Linked DNA regions of Nothobranchius furzeri. The protein of the gene in region 5 binds, or shares a complex with, the protein of the main gene of each other region. Links are inferred from orthologs where the notes say so. Each region holds a gene or a part of one and is shown on either strand. Other genes may lie near its edges.

Region 1 (4,295 bases), on a different chromosome or scaffold from region 5:
GCACAGTTCACTTCCCAATAGCAGCAACAGCCTTATATCATAACCACATAAGTGGAGAAAATGCTCAGTAGCAATGAGAGAATTTGCTGTTCCATTTAAGTGATGTTAACTATTATTTAACATTTAAACTTATTTTCTGATATTTTTTTATTTATTCAAAAACCCTGGTAAGGGATGTTTTTCTGCATTTGGAGCATCAGAAAAAGTTTTATGGTGGAGGTGATGTTTTAAAGTCACTGAGAAACTGCATGCATGCAGTTTATTGTTTTGCTACTAATACAGTAGCAGGTGCAGCTGCATATTTTTGCAATAAAAATGTTATGTTGTAATGGAATTCATGCATTAGTTTTGTTTGCTTTGAACCCAGAGCAGACGTCACACGCCAGACGACATCAACACTGCATACTTTAGTATTTGTTCATTTATCGTGAGTAATATCGATATCGCAATATTAAACACTGTTATCGAATATCGCAGGTTTTTCTAATATCGTGCAGCCCTATTCCTAATTGTGAGTCTACCTAGGCATCATCATGAAGACATACCAAAGGCAGCAGGTTCAATGGGACACGTAGGCCTTGAAATCATTATAATAAAAAAGAAAACTTCAGCAAACTATAAAGATGATTTGTTTCACTGAGCATCTTCCATGTTTGATGAACCATCTGAAACATGGCCACTCCACTCTTTCATTTCCTGCAACTAAGACAGTTTGCTTCAATGTTCATCAAGATATGCCTTTTTAGATAAAGCCCTGTTTACATTTCATCATTCAGCCTAAATACAGTACAAACACACTGTATTCAAACAAACCTATCGAGAATGGCTCTAGATTATGCAAGTACAGTCTCTGTTGATGTGAGGCTGTAATTTTCTCCGGATTCTGACACTAAGACACACTGAAAAATGAAAACATCTGAGCAGAAAAGTCACAAGTTGAATTGTTCAACAACAGACAAACATTGCAGTTTCACAACTCGTCCCAGTTACTGTCACGTTTTCCTATAGGATGCAGATGGATTTGTCTCAGAGGAAAAGGATAATGTTGTTGGTGACATGATTACATGTGAAAAACTCAGCAGGGTGTTGAATAGAGAGCATGTGTGTGTGTGTTTTATGTAAAAGGGCTAATAGAAATGCTGTAGCGTTTTTGTGACACAAAACTAAATCTTCAGCACAATCACTTCATACCTTTCTTGTAAGCGCAGCCCTGGCAGTAGTGAGATCCAGCCTGATGAACTGAGCTTTTGCAGATCCTGCAGATTGCGAAGCCAGTCTTGCTGTAAGGGTCAAACCTGATGAAAATAATTGTTACACACATGACCAGTTATATCAGCTGACCACTTTGAATTAGTAATATACAACATTGAAAAACAGTAGCTAAACCGTTGTGTGACTTCTTCTGAGGAATAGTTCAGATAAGAGTTCATTATGATGGGCTTTTTAGGAAGATTTAAGAACAAGGTGTCACCTCATATTCTATACAAATCTTACAATCAGACTAAAAACCAAATGAGAGCTACTCCTTTTCTGTTACTAATAAGGTTCACCAGATATTGTCACCTATTCCCTTTAACTTGTATATGGACGATCTAAGTTTTATTTAACTAAGAGAGCATAAGAGTGGATGAATGGGGAAATAATGACCAATCATCTCATGACTGCTGAAGATTTGATGGTCTTTTACTCTTCAGAGCAGGTTTGCAACAGTTACTTAAGAGTGTGTTCCAGCTATGATGTAAAAATCAACTGTTATGATTGCAAGAAATGAAGAAGATCAGGATTTAAACGTGGTTCATAAAGTAAAATACTAAGGACAGATGATTAATGATGATTCATGTGGTGATTTGTGCCAATGCAGCAAAATGTATGCCCAAGCAAATATGGTGGTGAGAAAGTTTTATATGATAAGGTTGAACTTTAGTAAAATAACAGTTTTTGGTTCAATTTCAAGAAGGTAATTTTAAGATAAGTATATTAATGCGTTTAGAATATTTTCTCTGACTTCTCATATTTGTATTTACATTCATTAGATTGTTGTAATTAAAGTTTATTTTTTTCTATAAATTGTTTTTACTCACCTGGCTTTTTTGGATGTCAAAATCTTGTTCTCATTTAGCTTACGTCCTCCACTCTCTGACACAAAGAAAGAAGACAAACTTGTTAAACACGGACATCTAAATGTTACTATACCTATACTAATATAAAAAAAATAAACACCAATTAATTTATATTATGGCGTGATCAACCAAATGAGGACTAAACCTGCTAGTAACGTGAAAAAATATAGAAACAATGATTACATTTTCAAAAGTAACTTGTAAACAAGACAACAAGTCTCATATCTAGAATAATTAACAAACAGCAATTTATCATACTGATGGCAAAAAAACATTTCACTACGCATTCCTCGGGTCACCTGTTGTATTCCGTGCTCCGTCCTTCCAAGTGTCGGGGGTAATTACTTTTCCCAGTTTCTTCTCGCCTAAAATATAAAACAAAACAATTATGGAGGAAAATACAATAAGAACTAAACTATTGGCCTTCTAGTTTGCATTTGAGACTTTCGCTGACAAAAGTAACGTTCATCAGATTTTAAAATGAACAATACGTCTGAAAATCAGAAGCAAATGACATACATACACTTTTCACAGACCATCTTTGCGGTGTGTCGAATGACGCAGTAGAAATGATCGTTTGTTAGCTTTAGCTTGCTTTGCTAATGTAAACGTCCGGTCAGCTGAGGCATTTCAAATGACAGGTTTCATTGGTTGCTTTAACGAGTAACATCTTCTGTGATTGGTTAAAACAATTGAGTTACGCAACGCGAACTATAACTTACTACTTCCCGTTTATTTGCTTATAGGTTCTTCAAAATAAATGTTTGATAAAGTCAAGCACTTTTACCTTATTTAACCCAAGCGTATTCATTAGCAGAGATTGAGTAACAAGTAAAACATACACCTTTTTCACTTGAAATTGAAATAAACTGACCCGATAATCTATGATAATATGTTTCGAAACGGATGTTTTTTCATCATTCACCTAAGATGTCTGTGCGCAGTAGACTTTTACTGTGAAATTAAGCGGACGTTCTTACGTCTTCGTGTTTACGGAAACGCGGAAAAGAAATACATAGACCTGACAGTTTCCCAATGTTACCTTACGTTTTTTAGGTGTTTTATTTGACTTCCCCGCATCGTTATCGGGTTCTTGTTGTAAATAGTTCACGTCTTCATCATGTGGGACCATGAAATTAAAGCTATGGCGTCTACTCACGCGATTATCACCGCCTCGGTGTTCATGGCCACGGTCATCCCCGCGGTGTTTGTCCCGGGCTTCTCAGTGTATGGGACTCACCTGCTGTGGGTCTACGCGGTGTCCGGTACGGTGACCTGTGTCAGCGTCGCTATCTTCTGGCTGCTCGGCATCTCACCGCCCACCAAAAAGCACACACTGGGATACAAGGTGCCAAAACAACTAGATAATGTTTTTAAAGTGAATTGTTGATTATGTTCGACATATAAATGTATTATGTGATATGTGAAGGTATCTTATGAATTTTACAAAATGTATTCGTTTGTTATTATTAATATTATTATTATTTGGACAGGGAAATGGACATCAGTCAACTTGCTTTTTAATTAAATTTAATAGATGTGTGAAAATGAAGGTAAGTTTTGGATATTGTAAGGTGAGGTGATGAAAAAGTAGAAATTGTAAGCGTTTCTTGTTATGATCTATTTTATTTAGGTGTGAAAAAAGTAATTGTCTCTTAACACATTTCATATATTATTTGTTTAATTTTTTGTCCCACTTAAATGGTTCAGATCAAACAAATTTCAACATCAGGCAAAGAGAACTTGAGTAAACTAAACTAAATGCAGTTTTCAAAGGATTATGTCCTTTATGAAGGGAAGAGAGCTAACAAAACCATCCGAGTTTCATTTCATTTTAATTCGGTTCATCCATGATCTAAACGGCTCATCTTTAGCGCTAATCATCATCAGATGAGAGCTAGGGGACATTCTGGACAGGTCTCCAGTCATATAGAAGGACAAACAACCATTCAAACATACACTCTCCCACCTAGAGACTATTTAGAGTCATTATTGAACCCTTTTCATGGATGTGTCTGGTCCATGGGAGGAAGCAAGTTACTGGAGAAGGGCCACACAAGCATGGGGAGAACATCCTAACTCCACGCAGAAAGGCCATGCAGGCAGGATTCGAACCTGCAGCATTCTTGCTTTGAGGCAAATAAATTTAATTTTTTCATAAAGCGCCAGTTCACA
Region 2 (2,977 bases), on a different chromosome or scaffold from region 5:
AGATTCCAGGTATGTCATTAAAATGGTATGATTTCCAACATTATGCACAGATTCGTTTTATTTAAAATACTTAACATTTTAAAAAGCCTGTCTACTATCTTATTTTGCATAACCATAATTAAATAAGATCATATATTCATTATATTTATAAACTTATAGCCATATTTTTTAGCCAGTCATTAAAAGCCTTCTAGAATTAAGAGTATTAACAACAGAAAAGCAGGATTTTAAGTTTTACACTCATAAATCTATCAGTCTTATACTTAATGATGTGGTGGAACAGCTTGTACTCATGATAAACATGTTTATTTTATAGGCCTTAGAAGTACTAGATAGACTGGCTCTGTCCAGGGTGAACCCCGCCTGGTTGCCCAGTGACAGCTGGAGATAGGCACCAGCCCCCCGCGACCCTACATGGACAAGCAGGTTCAGAATATATATATATATATATATATATATATATATATATATAAAATAAATTAAAACACTACATTTAAATCTTAAGTAAAAGTTTTTTATTAAAACAGTTACAAGTTGTACAATATTACCGATGTGTTCCACACTGACATATTTCACAGAAATAAGCCTTAAAAAACACAAAACTTAATATTTATGAAGCTACGTTTGCAAAAACAAAAAGTGACATTAAACCCACCATTATCAACAATGTCCTGTTTTACTACCAAAGGTAAACACGCTGAAGAATATTCCTGAACCTTTTGTGTTTTTTGTCTCTTCATTTTGTCAAATGAAAAAATAATAAACTGAACAAAGGAGGATGAAAAAAAATCAGTATCTGTATTTTGTAGAGTAATCCTTGGGAGACACCACCAAACCTCTTCCTTTCCTTGCTCCTCGATACACAGTTTCAACAATATCTATCATCTCCTGTTTGTCCTCGATTATCCAGTTGATCTTGTTATTGTTACCGGTGCCCAAATCAATCATGATGTGTTTGTTCCTGGAAGAGAAAGACAAAAATATCACCTTAAAATATGTTTACTCAGCTGCCCTGTCTATTGCAACATGTGGAACTGGAAGAGCTACCTGAAAAAGAACATGACAGTGCAGGGGTCGTACAACTCGTACATCTTATTGAAATCAGGCACTTCTGTGATGTCCACGAGGTAAATGACAGCAAAGTTCTTCACCTGTAAATAAACAAACCAAGAATGAATTAAACATGGCATTTGGAGCACGCCAGCAGGTAATGTGACGCGACTCCTGAATCTGAGCCAACCGGACTTTATATAATAAAGACAGGAAACAAATCAAACCTTTTCAGCGATGCTGTAAAGAACCTCGTCCATCTTCATACATGTTGGGTCCCAGTCGTGTCCGAAGCGGATGACGAGGACTCGGTCCTCCTCAGACAGGATGGCTTGGTCGACCTGCCATCCATTGTGGAGATGCGGTAACATGTACGACATCTTGACTCAAAAATGAGCAAATTCTAACCTGAAATGGATCAAATAAAGAGTTCAAATCGATCACAGCTGAACATTAAATTAAACAAACATCTCTGAGTACCAGAGAACGGTTTGACCGGCAACAGCTAGCTAGCTAGTTAGCGTTAACCATGGATACAATCTGAAAGACACAATTATGAAACTTCCCACTAAATATTCTGAAACACTTACCCCAAAATATAAAATAGAGTATTTAAGTGGCGGGAAGAAAACGGACTAACTATAGATAAAGCAGCTATGTTCAATGTGACTTCTTTTAAACCCCACGGAAAACAAACGCTTCACGACGTCATCAAATCAGCGACGCAGGAGACGCGTTAAATTTACGTCATAGTCGCTCAATTCGAAAAACTCTTTTAAAAAGTCCCAATTTATTTATTTATTATTTTTTAATGTGAAAGCCGCACACAAAAAATAAAAATTTTAAATAATTAATTATTTGAAATAATTACTTTTCACTCCAGCAAGTACTTTTAAAATAAATATATTTACGTTATGTTTTCCAGCAATATCTTTTTGGATGATCATCTTTTTGGATGATCAACTAGAGAAATACTTCTAGTATTAAATGTATTTCGTATTCATGCATGGAGAACAAACAGATTTTCAAACAGCTCAATAACAAACAGAAATTATGTTTACAGTCTAGATAACATAATTAGAAATTTGCAACATGAATACATTTTTTAGGAAATCTCGGAGCACTCTTTATTTGTAAAGCTTGTTTGCCACACTTCAATTAAAACGTGCACGTGTTGTTTGTGTACTTTACAAAAAAAACTGTTAATATTTGATGCTGTGAAGTATTTCTGATTCTTAACAAGTTCACAAATTTAGAACAATGTGTATATTTGGCACACTTGCTGTAAAATGGATACAGCTTGAAAAATGATTAGTTTGGAGTTTTACTCTGCGTTCAAACTCAAATTCTTCCACAAAAAGAGATTCCAAAGAAAAATTTGTAAAAACCCAACCCTAACTCATCATGCAATGTCAAATACTACGTGTCGTACTTGATTTTTTGCAGGCTTCCTAACACACTTTGTAAATAATAAAATGTAAACCCTTTTCAAGCACTTTAAGATGGAGTTTTTAAATATTTTCCAGCACGTTACACCGGTGTTGCACAGAGACCGTTTATACTTGTTCACAACAATCACGTCACTTTGCTGTCTCATTAAAGGAAACGTCTGCACCATAAAGTCAGTTTCAGTTGTTTTCAAGGACTTATTTAAATGCTGAAGCACTTTTAAAACTTGAAAATACCATTACGAATAAACAAATAAATCATCAATCTTTCAGTCTTACTTAGATTTAGAGACGTTATTTTATTTAAAGTGTGGGTGTACAATTCTAATAGTGGAAAAACACGAAGAAAAAACACTTATTGTGCAATTTACTGCAGTACAATCAAAGAAGAAAAAGATAGTATAAAGGTTAAAGAAAAAACGTTCCAGTCTGACGACATAGCAGCACATTGTGGCACTCCCTAGAGAGAGAGAGTCTAA
Region 3 (4,090 bases), on a different chromosome or scaffold from region 5:
CGGATTGTACTCTACACACACCCACGAACCAAAAGGACAACTCTTGAGTTTTCTAAAGGTAGATGTAGCCCAAACCATAAAGGTCAGGAGACGGATCAATGAAATGCTGCTACGTAATATTACCAGGAGACGCTCCACCGTTTGTGTTAACACGATTTGGTCCGTCTGCTCCAGGAGACGACCATAAGGGCACCTAGCAGTCCTCTCTGAGGACTGACAGCATTTCTTAGCTCCGGTCTGCTACAGCAGATGCATCGTCTCACGGTTCAGACTCTTTTGTTGCACAGGTTGTAATTATTAGTTTAGCATTAAGAGCGTAAAAGTTAGCCTTTTCTTCGGCTCTCTGGGTGTTACTGACGTCAGATGTAAATGTTTTCTTGGTGCTGGTTTTGTCTGCATGTATATTTGAAAGTTTGGACAAAGCAACGTGTTACAAATGTAAAACTTTTACTACAAACCCAGGCCTGCTTCAGTGTTTCAACATGATTGTACAAAAGGAACCGAGGCCATGAACTTTATTAGAAATGTACACAGACAAACACAGAGAGGGTTCTAAAGCGTGTTCTAATCTTCTTCGTCTGACGGTGGCTGGTCGGCTAAAGCGTTGCGTTTCTCCATCTTGGCAATCAGCTCTAGAATAAATGACAATAAAACATCAAGTGTGACTGTTTACTTTGGTTTCTGCTCCTCTTGGATGTTTTTGAGCAAATGCATTTACCTTTAGCGGGGTTGAAGACACCATTGGTCTGAGTGTTGCACACGTAGCAGCGCTTTGACTTGCGATAATGCTGAAGAGCACAGCTCTCACAAAAATAGTGCTTACACCTAAGGAAACAGCGATTACCAGCCGGTAATAAACAAGGACTGAAGGAGAGAAACCATCGCAGTACTTACTTTGTGATGATGGGATTTTTAAAAGATTCTCTGCAGATGAAGCACTTGAAGGGCAAGTCTTCATCATCACTGCTCACCTCATAGTTCTCGTCATCTAGATGAAAACACATCAGAAACTTAGTCTAGCCAGCAAAAGAGAAGATTTCAAGTTCGATTATTTACTCACCATTTGCTCCATATCTCCCTTCCTCCAGTTCCCTCTCAATCTGCCAGCCGTGTTTGTAGTCCGACCTGTCATGGAGGAACTTGCAGCTGTCTAATGGCAACGGATGCAATCATGATTAATAAACAAAACCTTTGACTTCACAGTAGGAACGTTTTAAGAGTTCAGATTGTTTTCACCAACCCCCAAATCCACAGAAACCCGTCTCCTTGTAGTCTTTGCAAATATCCGGTTGGTAGTCCCACCGGACTGTAGCTCTCAGGTGTTCAGGAGCTCGAATCGGTCCTTTTCTGTAGCACAGATTGAACGTAACCTTCAGCATCTATAGGTGAACAACATCTTCTGACTGCATGTGAATATCTCTTGCCTCACCTGACCATGCCTGAAGAGGCATTGCCCATGGTGGTGTCTTTAGGCTTGATGAATTTTTGGTAGTTATTGATGCCACGGTATATTTTATCATCTTCTTTACCTGTTAGCTCCTAATGAGACAGAGGAGGGAAAGCTCAAATGACGAAGGTGAGATTTTGATTATTTCTCATTTTATATTAACCAATAGCGGCATGTCCTACCTCTTGGATTTTCTGACTCCTCTCAAAAATAGCTTGAGCATCCTTGTCTCTCTCTGTGTCCAGCTGATAAGTGGCAGTTGCACCCATGTCTTCAGGCCCCTCGGGTTTCTTTTTATGAAGGCAAGGTACAGTAGAAAGTTTTAAAGTAAATAAAAACAACTGTTCAGGGCACATAGTCATGTGTACGTGGATGAGAATGGTCTGTAGATTGTAAAATAATGTTAAAATTTGCTTTTCTGGTGAAGTTTCAGCCCCTGTATGTTTTGTCTCAACAGCCAGGTTGAGCCATGATGGAAAAAAGATCAGTGTTTGACTTGTACTGTCTGGCTCTGACATTTTTGAATGAATGCAGTCTGAACTCACCGCTGATCGGGAAGACTTGTAAGCAACCGTTATCTTTTTGTCTCCCTTTTCCTCCTCGCTTTCACTAGAAGACACAGCGTCCCTCTCCACTTTTTTTGTCTGAACAAAGAATACATAGATCATTCACGTTGCTGCTTCATAACTAAGTATCTATTAGCTTGCCTGCTCTACCTTTTGAATCATGGGGTTGACTCGAGCATCCTTCTTTTCTTTTCTGACCACAGCAGTCTGTTCAGTGTCACTATCGCCATCTAAAACAAACAAACAAACACACACGCGCACACACACACACACACAATTGGTGTAAACAAACATTACAAAATCTATTACAATTAAACTAGGTTACTTCCCCTCTTTGTTTAAATGTAGCTTTCAGGTGATAAACCATAATGTTTTTGGTCCTGTTTATTATGGAGGATAATATAAACAAACTGTTTGGGTCGCGGTTTTGATCTCCCTGATGAGAAGCCGCTATCAATTCTATCCAGAGGACAGACAACGCTAGTTAGGAGAAAATTACAAGGAAATGTATCTAAATGATAGTTTACTACCTTTATCGCTGTCACTTGCTTTTCGTTTTCTTCCGGAGAATTTCTTGGTGGATTTTTTAAACAAAAACGTACAAGTAGCTGCTTTTGGTTTGTCTGGGTCCGCCATGTTTTTGTTGGTGTAAGAACAGTGGCTGCCAGAGCAGTAGCGCCCCCTGTTGTTCTGGAGGCGAAACGTGACGCGCTCCTTCTGCCAAAATGAGATTCACAACCGTCCATAAATCAAAGTCAACGCGGCTCTGGCTAGAATGGTAAACCTAAAATATTATGTTAGAACGGACGAGGGCCAATGAAAACAAAAGAAAAATACAATAAAAAAATGAACAGAAAGATAATTCTGACTTTAATCTCAGAATTTTCAGATTTAAATCATTATTCTTTGTTTTCAGTGGCCTTAATCCTCTTCCGTAGTACTTGAAATAATTTTTAAAAGGTAATTTTAGTTTTAAACAGAAAAATAATTAACGCATTTTGATTGGACACTAAATGTATAAACGATTAATAAACAAAATACACAAAAATAGCCATTAGAAATGTCGTTGATAAAAAGAAGAAACGATCTTTTACAAGACCGCTCAAGATAATAATCATGAGCAGGCGCTTCACAAGAACAACAACAACAACAACAACCATAACAACAAAAAACAAAAAAAGAAAGAAAAATAAATAAAAACGAATGACATAAATTTGTAAGAAAATTTTATGTTTAACTGCTTTTTGTCTAAATAATCTTTTGACGTAACTGATGCCAACACAATCTGTCTATAAGTGATTAAATGTATTGTTTATGTCAACTTGATAACAAGAACTCAATTAGTTTCTGGCTTTCGAGAGTAGGGTTTTTTCCAACCTCTGGCGGTCAGAGGCGGTTACTACAGTGTTCACATAAAGTTGAACAACACATAACCAATTAGCACTTCCTATAAATCCTTTCAAAATAAAAGAAATAACAAGAGGTCAGAAGGTCTGCAGTTATATAAACTACACAACCGATGAAGCTTAATAAATGTATCATAATTATCTGTGTTAAACAAGATTAAATTAACGCGCTAAAACAAAAACTATTAGCAGCATTACAAACACATCAGATCATACGCCCTCTGGTGGCCTATTGTCCCTCTGCTGTAGACTCAGAGGAACATCAAGTAATTCTTTTTGATTGTGAAATTTAACTAACAAGTTTGTAATTTCTTCTCAAACATTTCAGATATAAAACAATTTAGGCCACTATCAGGTGTCTGCCCTGGGATTGGGAGATCGGGTTTGAATACCGGTCTAGTCATACCAAAGACTTTAACAAGGAACCCAATCCCCCCCCCTGCTTAACACTCAGCTTTAAAGGGTTGCATTAGGGGGTTAAACAACCAAATTACTGAGCGCAGCCACTGCAGCAGCTCCCTGCTCTCCATCGGGATGTGTCAGATGTGGAGATGAATTTCACCAGTGTGATGATGACTATGGGACTTTAACTTTATTATTTGAACACACACACACACACACACACACACACACACACACACACACACACACACACACACACACACACACAC
Region 4 (4,093 bases), on a different chromosome or scaffold from region 5:
TATACAGTGTAAGAAAAAGAACATACAAAACATTTAAACAAATGTATCCATTAATAAGAAAATTCAGCAAAGATAAAATCATTCAAATAAGAAAATACCAACACCCCCCCCACCCCACCCCACCCCCACCCCCGGCCAGTTAATAACTATAATTCAATTCAATTCAATTCAAAAATACTTTATTAATCCCAGAGGGAAATTGATTAAAAACTAATTTAAAAGCCCACATCAGTCATTTAGTTTTAAGTTGTTATGGATGACCAAAGTCTTAAGAATTTTCTTGAATCTGCCATGATTATTTATTAATGCCACTCCTGGAGGCCGGATATTCCAATATGAAACAGCTCTGTAAATGACTTCTCTTGAGGGCATTCGTTTTTGGCAATGGAAGGGTAAAGGTTACTTGGGAGGCTCTCCTTGTGTTAAAACCATGTCTTTTACATGTCGGTAGAAACTTTGTGAACAAACTGAAAGGTTTATGTGATATCCAAGTTTTCTGCAAAGAAATAATCAGGCTACAGACTAATCTGCCATTTACCTTCATCCAGGACAACCTGTGATGCATCCAGTTGATATTGGTTGATATCTGCTAGTATGTATTGGAATGTCTGTATGAAGATTTGTCACCAGGAGTGTTTAAAAAAATACTGTCTATGTTATGAGGGAGGAGCTGCTCCATGCCAGCCCAGGTCCTACCAGCAGCAGATCTAGGTGGCCACAAATTCTCCAACAACCAACAGCTCCCAAAGAACCAACACTATTCAGCCATCCCAGATGATGGGATGAACCCAACCTGGGCAAGAAGGGGAACCAGCCTGAGGACGAAAGGACACCAGCCTCCAGCCAACGGGAACCCACTTGGGGCTGTCAGTCCTGGAGTCCCAAGCCCAGCACATCATCATCACGCCAATGCAGGTCAGCCAGGAGCCAGACAACCCCATTCCCCATTGGCCTAAACTCCACAAAGGGCTACCAAGCACAGGGGAACCAAACCAACATAGCAACCCTCGCCCCTTGCAGAGGGAGTGTAACTGTACCCCCAAACCATGGAGATGGTGAAGATTCTGACTCCTTGTTTTCTAAATATACCAGTCCTAATAAATGCCACTTAGAGGTTTCATGTATTCAATGTATATGGTTTACAGTAAAGTACTTTTAAATATATAAAAACGGAATAAAAAATGTATGAACTGAATAAAATATGAAACTGATATATTTAGAAATTAATGTAAAAAATAAGAATTGTCAATAAGTGGAAAGAAATAAAAAATGACGCGGGCAAGCGCAGTACTCGTTACATCCTGTAGGGGCTCACTCTGCATCCGGCTGGCCACTCGAGCTTCACCAGAGGGACGCACTTCTTTCTCCGCAGCGCTTGAAACAATCGATTTTCACCGAGAATGGACGCGGGATTCTTCCGCGTGAGTGTTTGAAACAAACATCTATCATTTTTATAAATTTGTGTCGCGCTGAATGTTAATAAATTGGCATTAATATCCCGTTTACAGTTTGGTCGAGGGCCACACTTGATAGAAGCGGTGCGGTAATGGCTCCGTCTATCAACTGATTTTGAACGATTCTGCTATTTGTAGTCAGTCCTCTTTTCAATGTAGCTAATTTGGAAATTAGTATTGTTTTTATGAAACTGATAATTGTATTATTTTGAGCCCGTGTTATGTTATTTTACTAACGCATCTCAGCATTTTTGGTATAATTTTCATATAGTCTTCTCAGGAATTAGACAGGTCCGTGCAGCTAAATTGTTGGCCTTGGCTTAAGATGGCGCCCGGTGTTGTGCCTAAACGAGCTAGTCACGACCATGTTACGCCAACGTTACTTTGGTACATTTAACTTTCGGCTTATTGAAGACTGACACCATTCAGACCTTTAAGAGCACATTTATATCGACGCTGTTATCGTTGACACCGCTTTCTTGCTAATGTAATCTTCCTTGTTAGTACTTAGCAACCGGCTAGCTAGCTTGTTGCTAGTTCAGTGTCATGTGTAACCCGAATACACTAATTTCTATCTGTTGAATATTTTAGGGTACGAGTGCGGAGCAGGACAACCGTTTCAGCAACAAGCAGAAAAAACTACTGAAGCAGCTGAAATTTGCAGAATGTTTGGACAAGAAGGTATGTGATCTCCTGATGGTGATTAAACTGTTATTCTGGTTATTTCTCATCATATAGCATCCAAACATGTGGTGGTCAGAGGGACCGGTAGCACCTCATTTTTATCATTGAGCCCCAGGACAGTTGTGGCTACATTGTAGCTCATCACCATCGGCATGTGAATGTGTGTGTGATTGGATGAGTGATACACTGTAGTGTAAAGCGCTTTGGAGACCTCTGACCTATTCATCATATCCCAGACAAACCGTAACAATCAGAGGTTTTTCTGTTCTGAATGTTAAATGAAAACAAAAATTTTCTTTTAGGGCCGCTGAGACATATCTTACTTCTCCATATGTAATCTGCTTGTGTACGTCAATATTTTATTTTGAATAGGATTTGTTGTAGAGGTTGGATTTGTGGCAAATACCCAAGTAAAAATCCCAAATAAGTCTGTTCCTTGTGTGACCTGACATCTGTAATAGATATAACCCATTAATGTGACTATTTTGCATAAATGCATTTGGTAATTGCATCTGAGTGCCTGTGTAATGCTGCTTATTCCAATAAAATGAGTATAAAGATGATCACTTTTTAAAAATATTGACTTGCCTGTTTTTTCTCAGGTGGACATGACCAAAGTCAACTTGGAAGTCATCAAACCGTGGATTACCCAACGTGTGACAGAGATTCTTGGCTTTGAGGATGATGTGGTCATTGAGTTCATATTCAACCAACTTGAAGAGAAGGTATTGTTTTTCCTCTGTTTGTTTTATTTTTTTTCTGTCAGAGCTGTTGTAATTCAGGGCATTGCTTAGCCAGCAAGAAGGGATGTTAGTAAAATAAATGCACATCCTAGTCAAACTGAGAATGAATGGGTAAAGTAAAAAATAGTTGGTTTATTTGTGTAGATCTTGTTTTGCTGTTATGTGACAACGTGCCTTTTTATTTAGCAGTCTTCTAATGATGATGTGATTTATGATTTAAAAGGCCTGAACCAATATGGATGTTATACCTTGCATCAGAAGTATAGCACCAACATCTAATTAGCTCTCTCCTGAGCCCAAAGTCTCTGAGCCCAACTCTCCCTTCATGATGCAGTGTGTGTTTTGAGGTGAGTTGTATATAGGGATCATCTACATCTTGTCAGTGAAAGACACAACTGAACAGTTCCATTATCATATTCTCCGTAGGCATTTTTAGATGCCAACTACCTTCATTAATCCAGAAAAGGGTTTAGAAAATGCCATGGTTTATTTTTAAGTATAAAAAATAAAAATTTGTTTTAACCCTGAAAAGTATTGTCTCACTGACCACCCCTGATTGCAAGTTTTGCATCAGTTGCACTTCTGTTGAGTATAACGTGCATTCTGTTGCACTTTTATTTAACTGCACTCGAGAGTTGCTGCGTTTCCATCAAGTTGTCTATTTTAAACAAATCTCATAGATGTTGACCTACATGAGGTACATGCTGCATTTCTTTGAGTTAATAAATGAAGATGTGTAGAAAGAATATTTTTCAGTTCTGTTGGGGAAGGCTGAGAATTAAAAACGCCAGCAGCCAGAAACAAATAAAACAAGCTAAATTAGATGCTTCTTTTGTTTCCCTTTTTGCCAAAACTTTTATTTATTTATGCATGGTTTTCCCCAAATAACTCTGTTAGTTTATAATTTTACAGGATGAACAGTTTTATTCTAATAAACCTGAAATATTTCATAAAACTCAAAATAGAAATGAAAAATATGTTGATGGAAACCGTTTATGGTCTGTGTTGAAGGCGAGCAGAGTGCATTACTATTGCAAGTAGAGAACTTCAACCACAGGAGGTCAGCACAAACGAGATTTTCTACAGAAACAATACTTTTCAGCTTATTGCTATAAAACCTGATTTGTAATCATTTCAGAATATTCATTTATGTCTCTTCTTTACCATGTATGTTATTTTATTTTTAAATACTTTCTAGTTTTAGACTTTTTA
Region 5 (3,994 bases):
CCCTCGGGGTTGCTGCAGGAGGACGCGGGTATTTATGAGAGGAAAACGAAAGTAAATAAATGTTTTGTGATCAGTATAATTCGACAAAACCACGGCAAACATGCTTTCTCGACAATCCTTGTTATTGTGTGAGAAAATAAAGTGTAGAAATTAAAACGGACGTGTGTTAATAGGGAAACAGCTGGCGAGCCATGATTGCGCATGCGCCGTGAGCGGTTCTGGTTCTGTTTGGGCCGCAGCCACTCGCAGCGCTACTTCAACAGTTATCCTAGTTTTTGTCTGGCTTGCAGGCTCGTAGATTCTCACACCGGGGGAAATTAGCTCAGGTTGTTTACTTATTTTTTGCACAGGCATTTGTTTACTGTGAAGTAAAGTTGAAGTGCTGAAGTTTTGCAAACTGATTTTGAATAAAACTTGAAGAATAACTGGCAATAGCGTACTCATTTTAAGAGGTCTTTCATATTTTATAACATGCTATTTGATATAATGGTTTACAAACACAAAAGGGTCATTTATTAGAGTACTCGATTAATCGATAAAAGATTTGATAGAGTACTCGATTAATCGATAAAAGATTTGATAGAGTACTCGATTACAAAAATATTCGATAGCTGCAGGCCTAATTCCTGCATCTATATTCTTTCCAGTGGAGGTTTATGGATTAGACTTTTAAAAAGCTGTTAGAACTTCATCAACTGCTGTTGAACTGATTTGCATTTCGCTGACAACTGGGTGCATATCCTAGATATTGTTCCCAAATATACATGCAAACATTTGAAAACACACCCTGCTTTGGGAACATTTGTATTTTACTGCTGCTGAAGGATAAATAGGCTGCTTTGTTAATATTAATAAGTAAAATTATAATTACATGAAGTTTCCTTAGACATTTTGGAGCCATGACTTTATTCACTTCAGTCTCTTTAGCAAAAATTCCCTCAAACTGATCAAACAACGCCCCCTGCTGGACACGAAGATAAACACCTTTCAGCAGTCTGACTATGATCTGAAGTTGAACTGATTAAAGAACATCAGTGAGCCCTGGTTCTGCATGTTTTAGTTCCTTACCTGCTCCAACACACCTGATTCAATAGCTTAATTCTTCTGAAGCAGCTCATTATTCGCCTAATGACTCAAATCAGGTGTGTTGAAGCAAAGAAACATAGAAAACAAGCAGGATGATGGGTCTAAAGAGCTGAATTTTCCTGGGGTACAAATTTAATTTTATCATTTATTTTGATTTGGCTTAACCAAATTTATGATAATAAAGAAGTCTGACACAGATAAAACCACACAATAAAATCATCAAGCAGTAGCAAATCCTGAGCAGGTATACAAATAATTAAATGGTTTATTTTTCCATGTGAGAAGATTCTGTGGTTTGGTTGTTAGGAGGAGAAACGGCACCCACCTGCATGTTCATGTATCCATCCACAGACACCAAGTAGCCTTTATACTCCATACCCCACTTCAGCTTCACCATCACAGGTTTTCCCGTCAGGCCGTTCAGGAAAGGCTTCGGGTTCAGAGGTAAACTCTGTAGAAGAAGAACAGAGGTCAGCAAAGCCATTACATCCCACACTACTGAAGAAAATTAAATGCATTTAACGACTACATTTCATGAATTTGTAACGCTGCTGAACAGCAGCGTACCCCCAGCCGTCCGTCCTACAACACAGATACTCCTCACTCCAACATGAAGGAAATCCGGATTCAATTAAACGTTTTTGCGTAGAATCCAAACTTTAAATCTACTGCAAAGTAAATCATTTTTATTGACTTTACTAATGAATTACTTAATGGCCAAACAGCTGTTTAACCAATCTAATTTTATTCATAAAAAACGTTTAATGAATCAGCGCAACTGATCTGTGTAATAAAACAAGCTGTTAAATCCTAATAGTGTTATTTTTCTTTAAATTGCATTATTTTGTTCAATCACTATTAAATTTTAATATGTTCTCCCATAACACAAAGGTTAATCCGGGTCAGGTGGTTTAATAAAAAGGTTTAAATGCTTTACTGCTGTTTTATTTACCTGCAGCGTCAGCCTGACGAAGTTTGCAGCCGCAAACGAAACGTTGCAGGCAAATAAAACCTTTCTGTGTTTTAAAAATAACTAAAAGATGGAATTAGAATTTCAACACAGCAAGCACACACCAAAGATGCTCTTAGCTCATTCTGAGTCGCTTGTTTTAAACCGATCATCTCTCTTAAGGCTAGCTACAGGACACCGTGGACTTAAAGGCCTGAGGAGTTAGCTCACATTATAAAGATTAAATAGCTAAAGGTCGAGAGACATATTATTAATATATATTCATTTCCTTATGGAAGCTTTTGATAAACGATCTTAGCGAAATAGTTTGGACTTTATTTTGCCAGGAAGCGAGGGGATGCTAGCGGTTGATGTAGCCTCTGCGGTCTTTTCTCTTGTTTATTAACAGTGATGAACGAGTAGACGGCTTACAACCCAAAGGGAATAAGAAACCGAAGATTTATAACACCAGTTTTGTGTTAATATGTGTTTGAGGGTGTGAAAGGTCTAGGTCGAAGTTATGAATGAAAAGCTAACATGGCTAACGCTAAACAACAAAAATACACTGAATTAAATCCTGATAGTTCATTCGCAAGACGATAAAGATATACAACGTCTTACTCACCATTTTATATCAAATTAAACAGCTTTAATAAGCTAAATCAAAAAAGTAAAATATGTTCGTCTCGATAACGTTTGCAAACCACGAAGCACGCTTTACCGCCGACCGGAAGTACAACTTTCCGACCTGGGCACGAGTCTCCGTGCTTTAAACAGCGCCTCCCAGTGGCCGGATGAGCGAACTGCTACCCAAGTGATTTAGTGTAAAGCTCCAAAAGTTTCCCCTCTTCCTCTCATTTACAGTCACCCATTGAACAGTAAACTGTGAGCTGATAAACGAAACGTGAATTAAACACCTACAATATGTATGCACGATCTCTGGGGTTGATATGTCAGTTGTTTATAGAGTATCTGCTATATGTTCGTGGCACGATACAGAAATAAAGTCCAGTCCAAAAAGTTGTATCTCCTCTACATTCACAAAAGAAAATGGCAAAAAAAATCAGTTATTAAGTCCAGGAAAAACTAGTAATAATTTTCTTCAAACTCGTTTTCATTCTCAGCAACAAGATCATGTCATCTGCCTTGAGTTGAACTCCTGCTCTATTTATGTCATGCAGGATCAGTGACTGATTGAAAACATATCGGTTTAGGAGCTAAACCTGGCACGACTGTCATAACTGGGTCATGCTTGCTCTCTGCAGCTTTGTTTTTCTCCAGGCACAAGAAGCCCGATGTTTAAAAAATGTTTTCTGCTCTGAAGCGTTTGTCTGTTACCAAAAAGTCAGGCAAGTTCAAACCTGCCATGGTGAATAAAACCGAAATCTGACTTCATTCAGCAAATGGCTGGGTTTTGTCAGAAAAATTCCTATGAAATTGCTCTGGATCTCTCTCTGCATGTTTGAAATACTTGTTTCTTTACATCACTGAGTATTTTCCCGACCTCACCTTTCCAACGTGTAATTAACCCGTCCATCAGACAGTCTGGTCTCAGTTATGGGATGGAGACGGTACGCGAGGTTTAGAGAAGTGGCCAGTCAGAGGGTGCATGAGTTGTATGAGAACTACTGTTGGCATGAGGCGTAATAAAATCTGTTACAGACAGACAGACCGACTGAACCGATAAAGAAAGCATAATATATTTTTCATGTGTTTAAAAACGTATTTAGAGCTGCAAAATGATGAAGAGACACAAATAAATTTGCAGTGTTGCAAAAACTGTAGTCACAAGAAAGTAACTCGTGCAAAGCAACCAAAAACAAAAGGGAAATTATTTATTAATTAAATATGATTTTAAAATAGCAAAATTAGTCTTACGAGGCTATAAAATAAAAAAGATGACATTTTCACCAAATGGTCACAAAGATTAGAAGTTATGAAATAAAAATCATTTAAATT
Region 6 (4,264 bases), on a different chromosome or scaffold from region 5:
AGTAGCAGACGTTTTGTACTGTCAGGTGTTTTCGTGCCCTCACTGAGGCACCTGTCCAGAAGATTCTATCACAACCTTCCCGTAGCATCCTCAGACAGATAACGAGCTCAGACCGACGGCCTTCCTTCACGTCCGTCAGGAAGTGAAGTTTAAAGATTCGTTTGTTACTGATGAAATTGTCACTGCTGATTTCTTCAACCTGTCAGCTTTTTCTGGATTTAACGTGGTTTTTACAGTTTTCACTGTCAATTACACAACCTAGCCGGTTTTAAGTCAGGCACATCCCCAGGCAGCCCGGCACTGCTGCAGGATTTAATTGTATTTTTATGTTCCTGAATAGCATCTGCTTTAATTAATGCTCTAAAAATTATTTCCACCAAAAATAAGAGTTTGTTTACCAGTTTTGAGCATTTAATACTCGGTCAGTATCCTGATTTGTTTGATTAACTTTAGTGAGACGTCTGGTTTTAACACTGAGCAGTGCACAAGATTAAAATTTAACAGTTAAATTTAGTGTTCAAAAACCGATTCAGCTTCTGAAATTTTGTGCATTTACTGGTGTTACCTGTGACATATTAGCATGAAAATAGGGCGGAAAACATCTAGACATGAAAATCGGCACAGAACATTGGCAACACTAATCGTCCATCAGCTGTCCGTAACCTTTACACGTCGGTATCGGCAACAGAAAAACCATTATCGGTCGAACTTTACTTTTCATGGTTTGCTGCTAACATCACAACCAAACGTCTGTGAGGTGGTACAATCCTTTAACAAGCTGACGAAGATGATGTAAGCATGCCTTTTGATTAGGAATGTGTATTTTTGAAATTCTTGTGATACGATACATATCACGATACAGGGGAGACGATACGATATTTCACGATATATTGCGATACATTCAGTCAGACGTTACAAGCAATTTTTTAACTGAATTTATTGTAAGAATGTTCAATAAACAGTCCAAACTGATACGTAACATGTTTAACATGAGGTATCTGAACCATGATGGAGGGATTTACATTTCAGTGGTGGAAACAAAACCCGCTGCACACTGCTGCCAACTAGCGGGTGCTGATTGAATTGCGCAAAACGAAAATACACAAATGTTTGCATGTAAATTCTTTCAGGAATTAGATACACGGCTTTTGAATATCGATGTAATAATCGCAGGAAAAAATATCACGATATATTGCCACATCGATATTTCCGATACACGGCTTTTGAATATCGATATAATGTTGCTGGGAAAAATATCACGATATATTGCCATATCGATATTTTCTTACATCTCTACTTTTGATGGATATTGGTAGATCCGGGTGTCAGATTGCTGCAGTAGCATGTACACGTGCTTTAAATTAATCATTAAGATAAAGAATAATTTTGCTGTACTTTACTAAACCTTTTAAAGGTTTATTCCATTTGTTTTATAAATCTAAAGGTTCTGGTTTGTTGCATTACTGACTATAACAGATGGCTTGACTTAAGCTGCTCTAACAACAAAATTGTGAATAATTAATTTTTCTATCTTTTCTCATTCGTCTGGTAAACTTTGCATACTCCTAAGTCTCTTACAGCCCGTTCTGTCCCCACTTACAGATTCAGGCCGCAGGTCCACCTTTACATGGTCTCCATCCTCAAAACCCTCAGGGACTTTGTTCTGCATCAACAGAGGGATGGAGAGGTCCAGGCTTCTGTTCGACTCTGCTGCATTCTGCCATTGCTCCAGCTGCCTCCGTGAATCTACAAGCAGAAACACACAACGTCACTGATAAAGATGGTTTTCTTAGTGTTGGGTAGGAAAGTAAAAACTGTCTAATACACACACAAACCGGCCATGGAGCTCGTGCTCTTAATTGTTTTACAGTCTAGCAGGAAGACACTTCCAGGATGGGCTCCGTTTGCGAGGGGGTACACATTTTGACACGCAACCATTCATTGTCCAACTTCTGCATCTTTTTCAACCACAAACCTTCAATGAGTTCTTTGACAGCTTGAGACTCCACCGAGTCTTTGTCTTGGACCGAGCCGCGCGCTGAGCCTCCACTCGGGTCCGCTCGGTCCGGTTTGTGCCAGCGGTTCTTCTGGATCAATGGGATGATGAGCTCTTTGGGCTTCTCGGTTGGCTTTGAACTGCCACGGAAGACAAAAGTTAAATCTTTAAAGTGTCCCGGGTAGATACATTACACACACCACGTAAAAGTGTGGTCAGTCAGATTTAGAGTTCAAACGTCACCACTCCGTTTACAAACCACTGACAGCTTTAGCCTCTAGCTAGCGGTTAGCCTACCTCTGTAACTCATTTCGGTCGATTCCAGTCAGGTAATCCTTCTCGTCGGTCTTGGCTGGAATGCCGCCGGCTGCGGGTTTAAATTTGCTGACAGTTTTTGTGAAACCAAACGATACCGCCGCTGCCTTTTTATCTCCTTGGTTCTCGGCGGCACCTGAACCGTCTCCGTGCGACGCCATGATTGTTTGTGGAAGAAGAACGATGAGGGCGCAGTGCATTCTGGGAGATGGGGTTGCGTTAACGAGCCCGATAACCACTCTAGGCTGCAATTGACTACAGATCCCATCATGCCTCATAATAAGAGTTCTTTAAAGGTCGCAGGCAATCCGAGATTTACTGATTTATTTGTGAAATCCGTTGGTTATTAGTAACTAAATAATATATCAAATCATTTAAAGTAGTTAAACAGACGGTAATTACACTGACACTTGATTTAAAATAGAAAGGTACTGATGTTTAACACTTTCATTGTGAACATGTCTAGACTTGCAGGTCTATTTTTGAAAAGCTGAAACATCGCTCCGTTGAAGCGGTCATCTTGTAAACCCCTATAGTTTATCTGGAGCTTTTTAGTCTCCTGTAATAAAAAGAAACAAGAGCTGAATGAGTTGGATTAATGCGTGGGTCTGACTCCTTTAAATCGCAGATAGTGAAGCGGACTCTGGTGCTGCTGATGCAGGTGTGTTTTAGGCAGAATGTGGGCGGGGCTTTTAACTCCTCCTCCCAGTGCCTCCTGAGCGCCTGAACTTGTGAGGTTAACCTTTTCATTAGCCATGTAGCCTAATGTTGCTGTTTTTTTCTCCGCATTTGCATGTCAGCAGCATGAGCGCAACCTTATTACTATTTCCGCACCTGCTTTTGCGCAACCTCTGAAGTTCAGCGACACCTTTATTTGCTGAACCCGACATTTGTATGATTTTTTGGGGGGTAATTCGGGCTTTTTCTGTATGCATGATGGATAAACGATGAGGCGCAGAGAGTGAACATGGGGGTAAGAAACGCACTGTTCTCTTTGCACAAGTTAAAACCTCCCGTTTGGGTCACAACCATCCACGCCTTCTTGTTTTTTCCTCCTTTCTCCTTTTTGCTCGCAGCAATGTAGCAGCTGCTGAAATTATCTGCGACCGCCGTCAAATCTGCCCGATAGTGTGTGTGTGTGTGTGTGTGTGTTTTATTTTCCTCTCTCTCTCTCTCTCTCCTGCTCTCCCCGCTCTCTCGCTCTCCTCAGCTCCCAGAGCATCACTAGTGTCCAAACATCCCGTCAGCCGTGCGCATCGGCTCTGACTTTCTCCGCTGGCTCCGGCTGATCGCCTTTCATCTCATCTCCTCCAGACTCCAGACTCTTCCTCGCTCCTCCTCCAGCTCCTGCTGTTGCTCCAAACCAAACAGGTCGCGTTATTTATTAAAGTGCTGCTCCTTTTTTAACCTCGGCAGGGTCAATGTATATAGACGCGTTCAAACGGATCCTCTTTGAAAGGCTGAACTGCTTGAAGAGAATGTGTGTGTGTCAGCGGCAAGGCAGGTCAGTATTCAGTCTAAATATGAGAAATCTGAGAATCTGCTTCGTGTGTGTGTGTGTGTGTGTGTGTGTGTGTGTGTGTGTGTGTGTGTGTGTGTTTTGAGAGTTTCTTGATAGCTTTTCTATTTTCTTTATCGGTTTCAATCGCCTTCCTCACAAATTGCCTTAATGAAAACTAAACAGAAGCTCGTGCTCAGTGCACCTGCACCCCCTTTGCCATGAATAATAGACTGATTCAAATACTCTGTGGTTCACAGCCAGGTGTGTGTGCATGCATGTGCATACAGGAGCGTGCACAAGTGCCCTGCAGCCCTCTGTATGTGTGAGAGTGTTTGTTTTGGGTGTGTCCCAGCTCGTTTGGGCAGCTTGTTTTGGAAGTGATGGATTCCTGACCCTGACGGAAATGCTCCGGATCTGGTTGCAGTCAAGGTGATGCTGCTAATAGGAATCAT
Region 7 (3,997 bases), on a different chromosome or scaffold from region 5:
AGCATCAGCACCGGTACCTGGCTCAGATCCACCTGGAAAAGAACATACATGCACTATCATGCCTTCGGGGCAGGAATTCCCAGTCTTGGTTCTTGTGATCTGATCCCTGATCCCATCAGTTGATCAAACTCAGCTAGAGCTCGGTACCCATTTACATCAGGCATCTTGAAGTGTGAAGCATTGGAAAACACTTGGGGCGGTGGATATTAGGGATCAGCATTTGAAAACATAGTTCAACAGAATGATCCTGGGGAGAATTACACAAATCTTACGTCTTTGTCGAGGATTGTAGACTTGGATGTCAGGTCGACGAGGTCTTTTTGGGGTTGCAGTGTGTCTTTGCTTCTTTAGCTTTTTGGCTTGCTTCACTTCCTTGTCATAATCATCTCTGAAAAAAGACAAGTGACAGTTTGATCATACAAATTTCAGTTACACGACTTTAGGTTTAGTTGTTTCCATACTTCCAGTCATTTGATCATAAACTTAAAAGTGTAATGCTGTATGTATTTTGCAATTCAAAACAAAGTAAATAGTTATTTAAAACAATAAGTTTCATGCATATTCTGCTAAAACCTGCAATAATTTGGCTAGGCCTGCAAACTTATAAATTGTTTTTAGCGGCTAAACGCGTTTATGTCATCAGCTACGACCTTTTCAGCATCCCCAAATCAACGTAACGTTTGATTAAAAGAATATCGCCTTTGAGGTTTTAGGCTGATATTAACCTAGTGTCTCATTTTCAACTAGCATTAACAGAGAGAAATTGAGGAAATTACCTACCTAGCAATCTGGTTCCTGCGGATATGGTGCAAGAAGCCATGGCTCATATCCAAACGCCCACCTGGTTTGTATTTTAGCTCATGCCCTCCATCATCTCTTAAAATATCCATGTCATTAAATGGTTGTAAAGCAATAAATTACCAATTGGTTAAATCATTATAAGAGGTCCTAATCAGACCTCAGACAAAAGCTAAATAGCACCTAGCTAGCTGTAAATAGTTGTCCAATAAATCACTTCCGGAGTTAACGCTGCAGGAACGATCACATTTAACATCTTAAATTAAAAAGTACAATAACAATTCAAGTATTTGTGTACAAATAAAACAAACACATGTTGTAAATTAACAGTTTCCTGCGCTAAAAAAAAACAAAGTTAAATTTCTGGTAGAATATTTTTCTTAACACCGGAATAGGTTTTGTTTTTTTTGTTCAGCGTACAACCACCGCGAGTTTCGACGTGGTCAGTCACCATTCATCTAAAAAATCTTCTAAATAAGTTAGTTTATTCCTATGTTGTTTTGATACCAGGCTCGCAGGATAACAGATATGATTTCCCTAAAACGAGAGAGGGAAATTGAGCTGGACGACGATGATAACGAAGACGGAGGTAAGTATGTTTATCTCTAACGTCAGTGTAACGTTAGCCGGATGCTAAGAAGCTAACTAAAAGAATTTGATTTTATGCACAACTTTGTACAGTCACTTCCTGAATGGTCATTAGACATCCTCAGTAACTAATGCATAGAATAACACTTTGCTTAATTAAAAAACATTCTGTAACAGCACAGCTATCGTGTTAGCATGTTTAGCCTATTAGCTTGTACATTGTTATGTAGCATTTTAGTTTGTCTTGTTAGTTACAATTATCATATTTTTGCAGTTGTAATCAAAAGGGGCCGAGGACATGCAGTAGAAGACAGAAGAAGTCGCCACTGCCCTTACCTTGACACCATAAACAGGCAAGAAAGAGAAACATATCAGCAACTGATATTAGCATTGCTTGCTAATTAGCACATTTGACAACCATTAACCTGTCTATGCTAATTTCCCAGGAGTGTGCTTGATTTTGATTTTGAAAAGCTCTGCTCCATCTCGCTCTCCCACATTAATGTTTATGCTTGCCTCATCTGTGGGAAATATTTTCAAGGTAGGTAAAGCTATCCAACCTTCAATCCTACATGATTAAACATGCTCGTGCACTTTGATAGCCTGGCAAGCCACACTAAATAAAACTTTGCAAAGCAAGAATTTGGTCTAGTTCACTAGGCTAGTACTTTGACACACTGGTGTTGTTTTTTTCTTGCAGGCAGAGGTCAGAAGTCTCATGCATACACTCACAGTGTCCAGTTTAGCCATCATGTGTTCCTCAACCTGCACACACTCAAGTTTTACTGTCTGCCAGATAACTATGAGATCATTGACTCGTCATTAGAAGACATCACGGTGAGTCATAGTATTGTTTTGTTGATCTTATTATGCCACAAGTGTCTATGGTTACAAAGCCTAAACATTTCCTGTTTAACAGAGACTGCAAACTGGAGAAAAGTTTTAAAAGTTTTAAGCATGTAGATGTAGATTCTCAGTCATCCAGGACATTTCAGTGCTAAGACTCTTGGGATGTTCCAAAAAGGGTACTTCACGATTCGATTCAATTTCGATTATTGGAGCTTCGATGCTTCGATTCTTCGATTATAATGATTTTTGGTTCGATTCGATTACTGGAGCCACGATTCTTCGATTATTGACATTTTTAATGTTTTTTCATACAAGATTGTCTTCTATTTTATCTACATTTGTAAATAAATAACCTATCAATTAATTCAGTTCCTCTACAACTGCTCTCTGTAAGTAAATACATTTTTTTAACATTTAACTATTTTTCAAAGACAAATTCTTATTTTATGACTGTATGACGTGTAAATATTTGCACTTTGACAAACTTAACTTTGGTCAGGGAAAGCTTTACTTACACTAGTGTCTCCTCCATTGTTGGGAAACACTGAAAACAGGCAAGCCCTGGATTTAATGAGGTAATTAATTCAAGTAAACAAGATTTTTACTTCCACTGAATTTATTTAATGGAAACTTAATGAGTCTGGCATATGATAACATTACAAAAAAAGCTGCCATACAGATCAAAAGTGCATTCCTCAAAATAAAATAATTCAGCTTATTCAGTCTGGAATATAGGTAACAGAAAAAAACCTGCTATATTTGAAGGTAATATGTTGCATTTTTTCTGAACAAAAGTGCATAATTCAACTGAACCTGTATTCAGCTTGGAGCTTCAGTACTGTGAGGCGAACACAACAAAATAGAGCAGAGTGACACTCATACTCATCTTAATCTTAGCTGTCTTCCCATACTCCCTCCCCTCCTTCTTGTCCCCTACATCCTCCAGTTGTGTGAGATGGGTAAATGTCAACATTGTGCTACTTTGACCCTCACTCATCTCTCGAGTTTGAAGAACGTGGCTCACCAACTTCCACCCGTTCTTGTCCGGCGCGAGAACAAAATGCGCCGTTACAGTAACGAAGGATTTGGTGGCAACCGATGTCCATGCATCGCATGTGAGCGCTATCCCGGTTGCCTTCTTCATGGACTCCAGCTTTGGTTTCCTCGTAGAGGTGGGGGACTTCCTTTTCTGCGAAGTGTTTTCGGTGAGGAAGTTTCTAGCGCGGCTCCATGGTGCGCACCACTAACTGAAACCCCCTGTTGTTTACTACTGAATATGGGCGTAGATCCGTCGCGATAAAAGTAGCTATTGCTTTTGTAATGCTCCTCGCCTTCTCTGAGCTCTTCGGTAGTTTGGAGACAGTCTCCAGGATGGAGAAAGAGGTCAAAGAGGTAGTGCCACTCACTAAACAGTCCGGGCGGCGCGTGCGTTAAGGCTCCGGTTACGTGTTTTTATTTTTTTTTAGTACCGGCGTTGCAATAAAACTTTGATGTTATGTTTTTTTAAGCATTGACGTTCATTAATCGATGTCGAAACAACATGTTTAGCTGTTAGATGCATCGCCACATCGATTAATTGCACCCCCCCTATAAGATTCTAATGGAAAGTAACTACCTGGAGATGTCTGAAGATGTTTCAAATTTTCATCTGACTCAGATGAGTGTTGGAGATCATTTTAACTAATGTGCTCAAAATTCAGTTGGAGACTAACCTTTTAACTCAAATCAAATTCAAATTTTATTTGTCACATAAATTCATACA

The links.
Region 1: snrpf (region 5) and cript share a complex: the UniProt entries of both Homo sapiens proteins name them as parts of the minor spliceosome. The link is inferred for Nothobranchius furzeri from reciprocal best matches to the Homo sapiens genes SNRPF and CRIPT.
Region 2: snrpf (region 5) and txnl4a share a complex: the UniProt entries of both Homo sapiens proteins name them as parts of the U4/U6-U5 tri-snRNP complex. The link is inferred for Nothobranchius furzeri from reciprocal best matches to the Homo sapiens genes SNRPF and TXNL4A.
Region 3: snrpf (region 5) and rnf113a share a complex: the UniProt entries of both Homo sapiens proteins name them as parts of the minor spliceosome. The link is inferred for Nothobranchius furzeri from reciprocal best matches to the Homo sapiens genes SNRPF and RNF113A.
Region 4: snrpf (region 5) and srrm1 share a complex: the UniProt entries of both Homo sapiens proteins name them as parts of the minor spliceosome. The link is inferred for Nothobranchius furzeri from reciprocal best matches to the Homo sapiens genes SNRPF and SRRM1.
Region 6: snrpf (region 5) and gpkow share a complex: the UniProt entries of both Homo sapiens proteins name them as parts of the minor spliceosome. The link is inferred for Nothobranchius furzeri from reciprocal best matches to the Homo sapiens genes SNRPF and GPKOW.
Region 7: snrpf (region 5) and usp39 share a complex: the UniProt entries of both Homo sapiens proteins name them as parts of the U4/U6-U5 tri-snRNP complex. The link is inferred for Nothobranchius furzeri from reciprocal best matches to the Homo sapiens genes SNRPF and USP39.

Annotation. Positions count from the first base shown.
Region 1 is NC_091756.1:43,772,589-43,776,883, forward strand, and holds the start of cript (cysteine-rich PDZ-binding protein), read right to left. Parts: upstream 2,801-4,295; 5' UTR 2,660-2,800; coding exon 2,644-2,659; intron 2,486-2,643; coding exon 2,420-2,485; intron 2,137-2,419; coding exon 2,082-2,136; intron 1,296-2,081; coding exon 1,192-1,295; intron 1-1,191. Other genes in the region: pigf (phosphatidylinositol-glycan biosynthesis class F protein), read left to right, coding at 3,241-3,468. UniProt on the Homo sapiens protein: As a component of the minor spliceosome, involved in the splicing of U12-type introns in pre-mRNAs. Involved in the cytoskeletal anchoring of DLG4 in excitatory synapses.
Region 2 is NC_091751.1:22,095,006-22,097,982, reverse strand, and holds txnl4a (thioredoxin-like protein 4A), read right to left. Parts: upstream 1,786-2,977; 5' UTR 1,641-1,785; intron 1,459-1,640; 5' UTR 1,431-1,458; coding exon 1,278-1,430; intron 1,152-1,277; coding exon 1,048-1,151; intron 962-1,047; coding exon 790-961; 3' UTR 501-789; downstream 1-500. UniProt on the Homo sapiens protein: Plays a role in pre-mRNA splicing as component of the U5 snRNP and U4/U6-U5 tri-snRNP complexes that are involved in spliceosome assembly, and as component of the precatalytic spliceosome (spliceosome B complex).
Region 3 is NC_091745.1:10,008,282-10,012,371, reverse strand, and holds rnf113a (E3 ubiquitin-protein ligase RNF113A), read right to left. Parts: upstream 2,704-4,090; 5' UTR 2,650-2,703; coding exon 2,544-2,649; intron 2,244-2,543; coding exon 2,164-2,243; intron 2,092-2,163; coding exon 1,993-2,091; intron 1,738-1,992; coding exon 1,630-1,737; intron 1,540-1,629; coding exon 1,430-1,539; intron 1,348-1,429; coding exon 1,241-1,347; intron 1,151-1,240; coding exon 1,061-1,150; intron 989-1,060; coding exon 895-988; intron 826-894; coding exon 719-825; intron 633-718; coding exon 565-632; 3' UTR 501-564; downstream 1-500. UniProt on the Homo sapiens protein: Required for pre-mRNA splicing as component of the spliceosome. As a component of the minor spliceosome, involved in the splicing of U12-type introns in pre-mRNAs. E3 ubiquitin-protein ligase that catalyzes the transfer of ubiquitin onto target proteins.
Region 4 is NC_091758.1:35,727,494-35,731,586, reverse strand, and holds the start of srrm1 (serine/arginine repetitive matrix protein 1), read left to right. Parts: upstream 1-1,293; 5' UTR 1,294-1,400; coding exon 1,401-1,421; intron 1,422-2,045; coding exon 2,046-2,135; intron 2,136-2,740; coding exon 2,741-2,863; intron 2,864-3,101; exon of another isoform or gene 3,102-3,228; intron 3,229-4,093. UniProt on the Homo sapiens protein: Part of pre- and post-splicing multiprotein mRNP complexes. As a component of the minor spliceosome, involved in the splicing of U12-type introns in pre-mRNAs. Involved in numerous pre-mRNA processing events.
Region 5 is NC_091741.1:34,923,132-34,927,125, forward strand, and holds the start of snrpf (small nuclear ribonucleoprotein F), read right to left. Parts: upstream 2,801-3,994; 5' UTR 2,664-2,800; coding exon 2,661-2,663; intron 1,538-2,660; coding exon 1,412-1,537; intron 1-1,411. UniProt on the Homo sapiens protein: Plays a role in pre-mRNA splicing as a core component of the spliceosomal U1, U2, U4 and U5 small nuclear ribonucleoproteins (snRNPs), the building blocks of the spliceosome.
Region 6 is NC_091755.1:41,971,939-41,976,202, forward strand, and holds the start of gpkow (G-patch domain and KOW motifs-containing protein), read right to left. Parts: upstream 2,801-4,264; 5' UTR 2,590-2,800; coding exon 2,294-2,589; intron 2,137-2,293; coding exon 1,976-2,136; intron 1,747-1,975; coding exon 1,601-1,746; intron 1-1,600. Other genes in the region: membrane-associated guanylate kinase, WW and PDZ domain-containing protein 3, read left to right, coding at 3,733-3,815. UniProt on the Homo sapiens protein: RNA-binding protein involved in pre-mRNA splicing. As a component of the minor spliceosome, involved in the splicing of U12-type introns in pre-mRNAs.
Region 7 is NC_091757.1:46,437,229-46,441,225, reverse strand, and holds the start of usp39 (ubiquitin carboxyl-terminal hydrolase 39), read left to right. Parts: upstream 1-1,197; 5' UTR 1,198-1,326; coding exon 1,327-1,387; intron 1,388-1,660; coding exon 1,661-1,739; intron 1,740-1,832; coding exon 1,833-1,927; intron 1,928-2,086; coding exon 2,087-2,223; intron 2,224-3,997. Other genes in the region: c17h2orf68 (UPF0561 protein C2orf68 homolog), read right to left, coding at 1-32, 273-388, 781-890.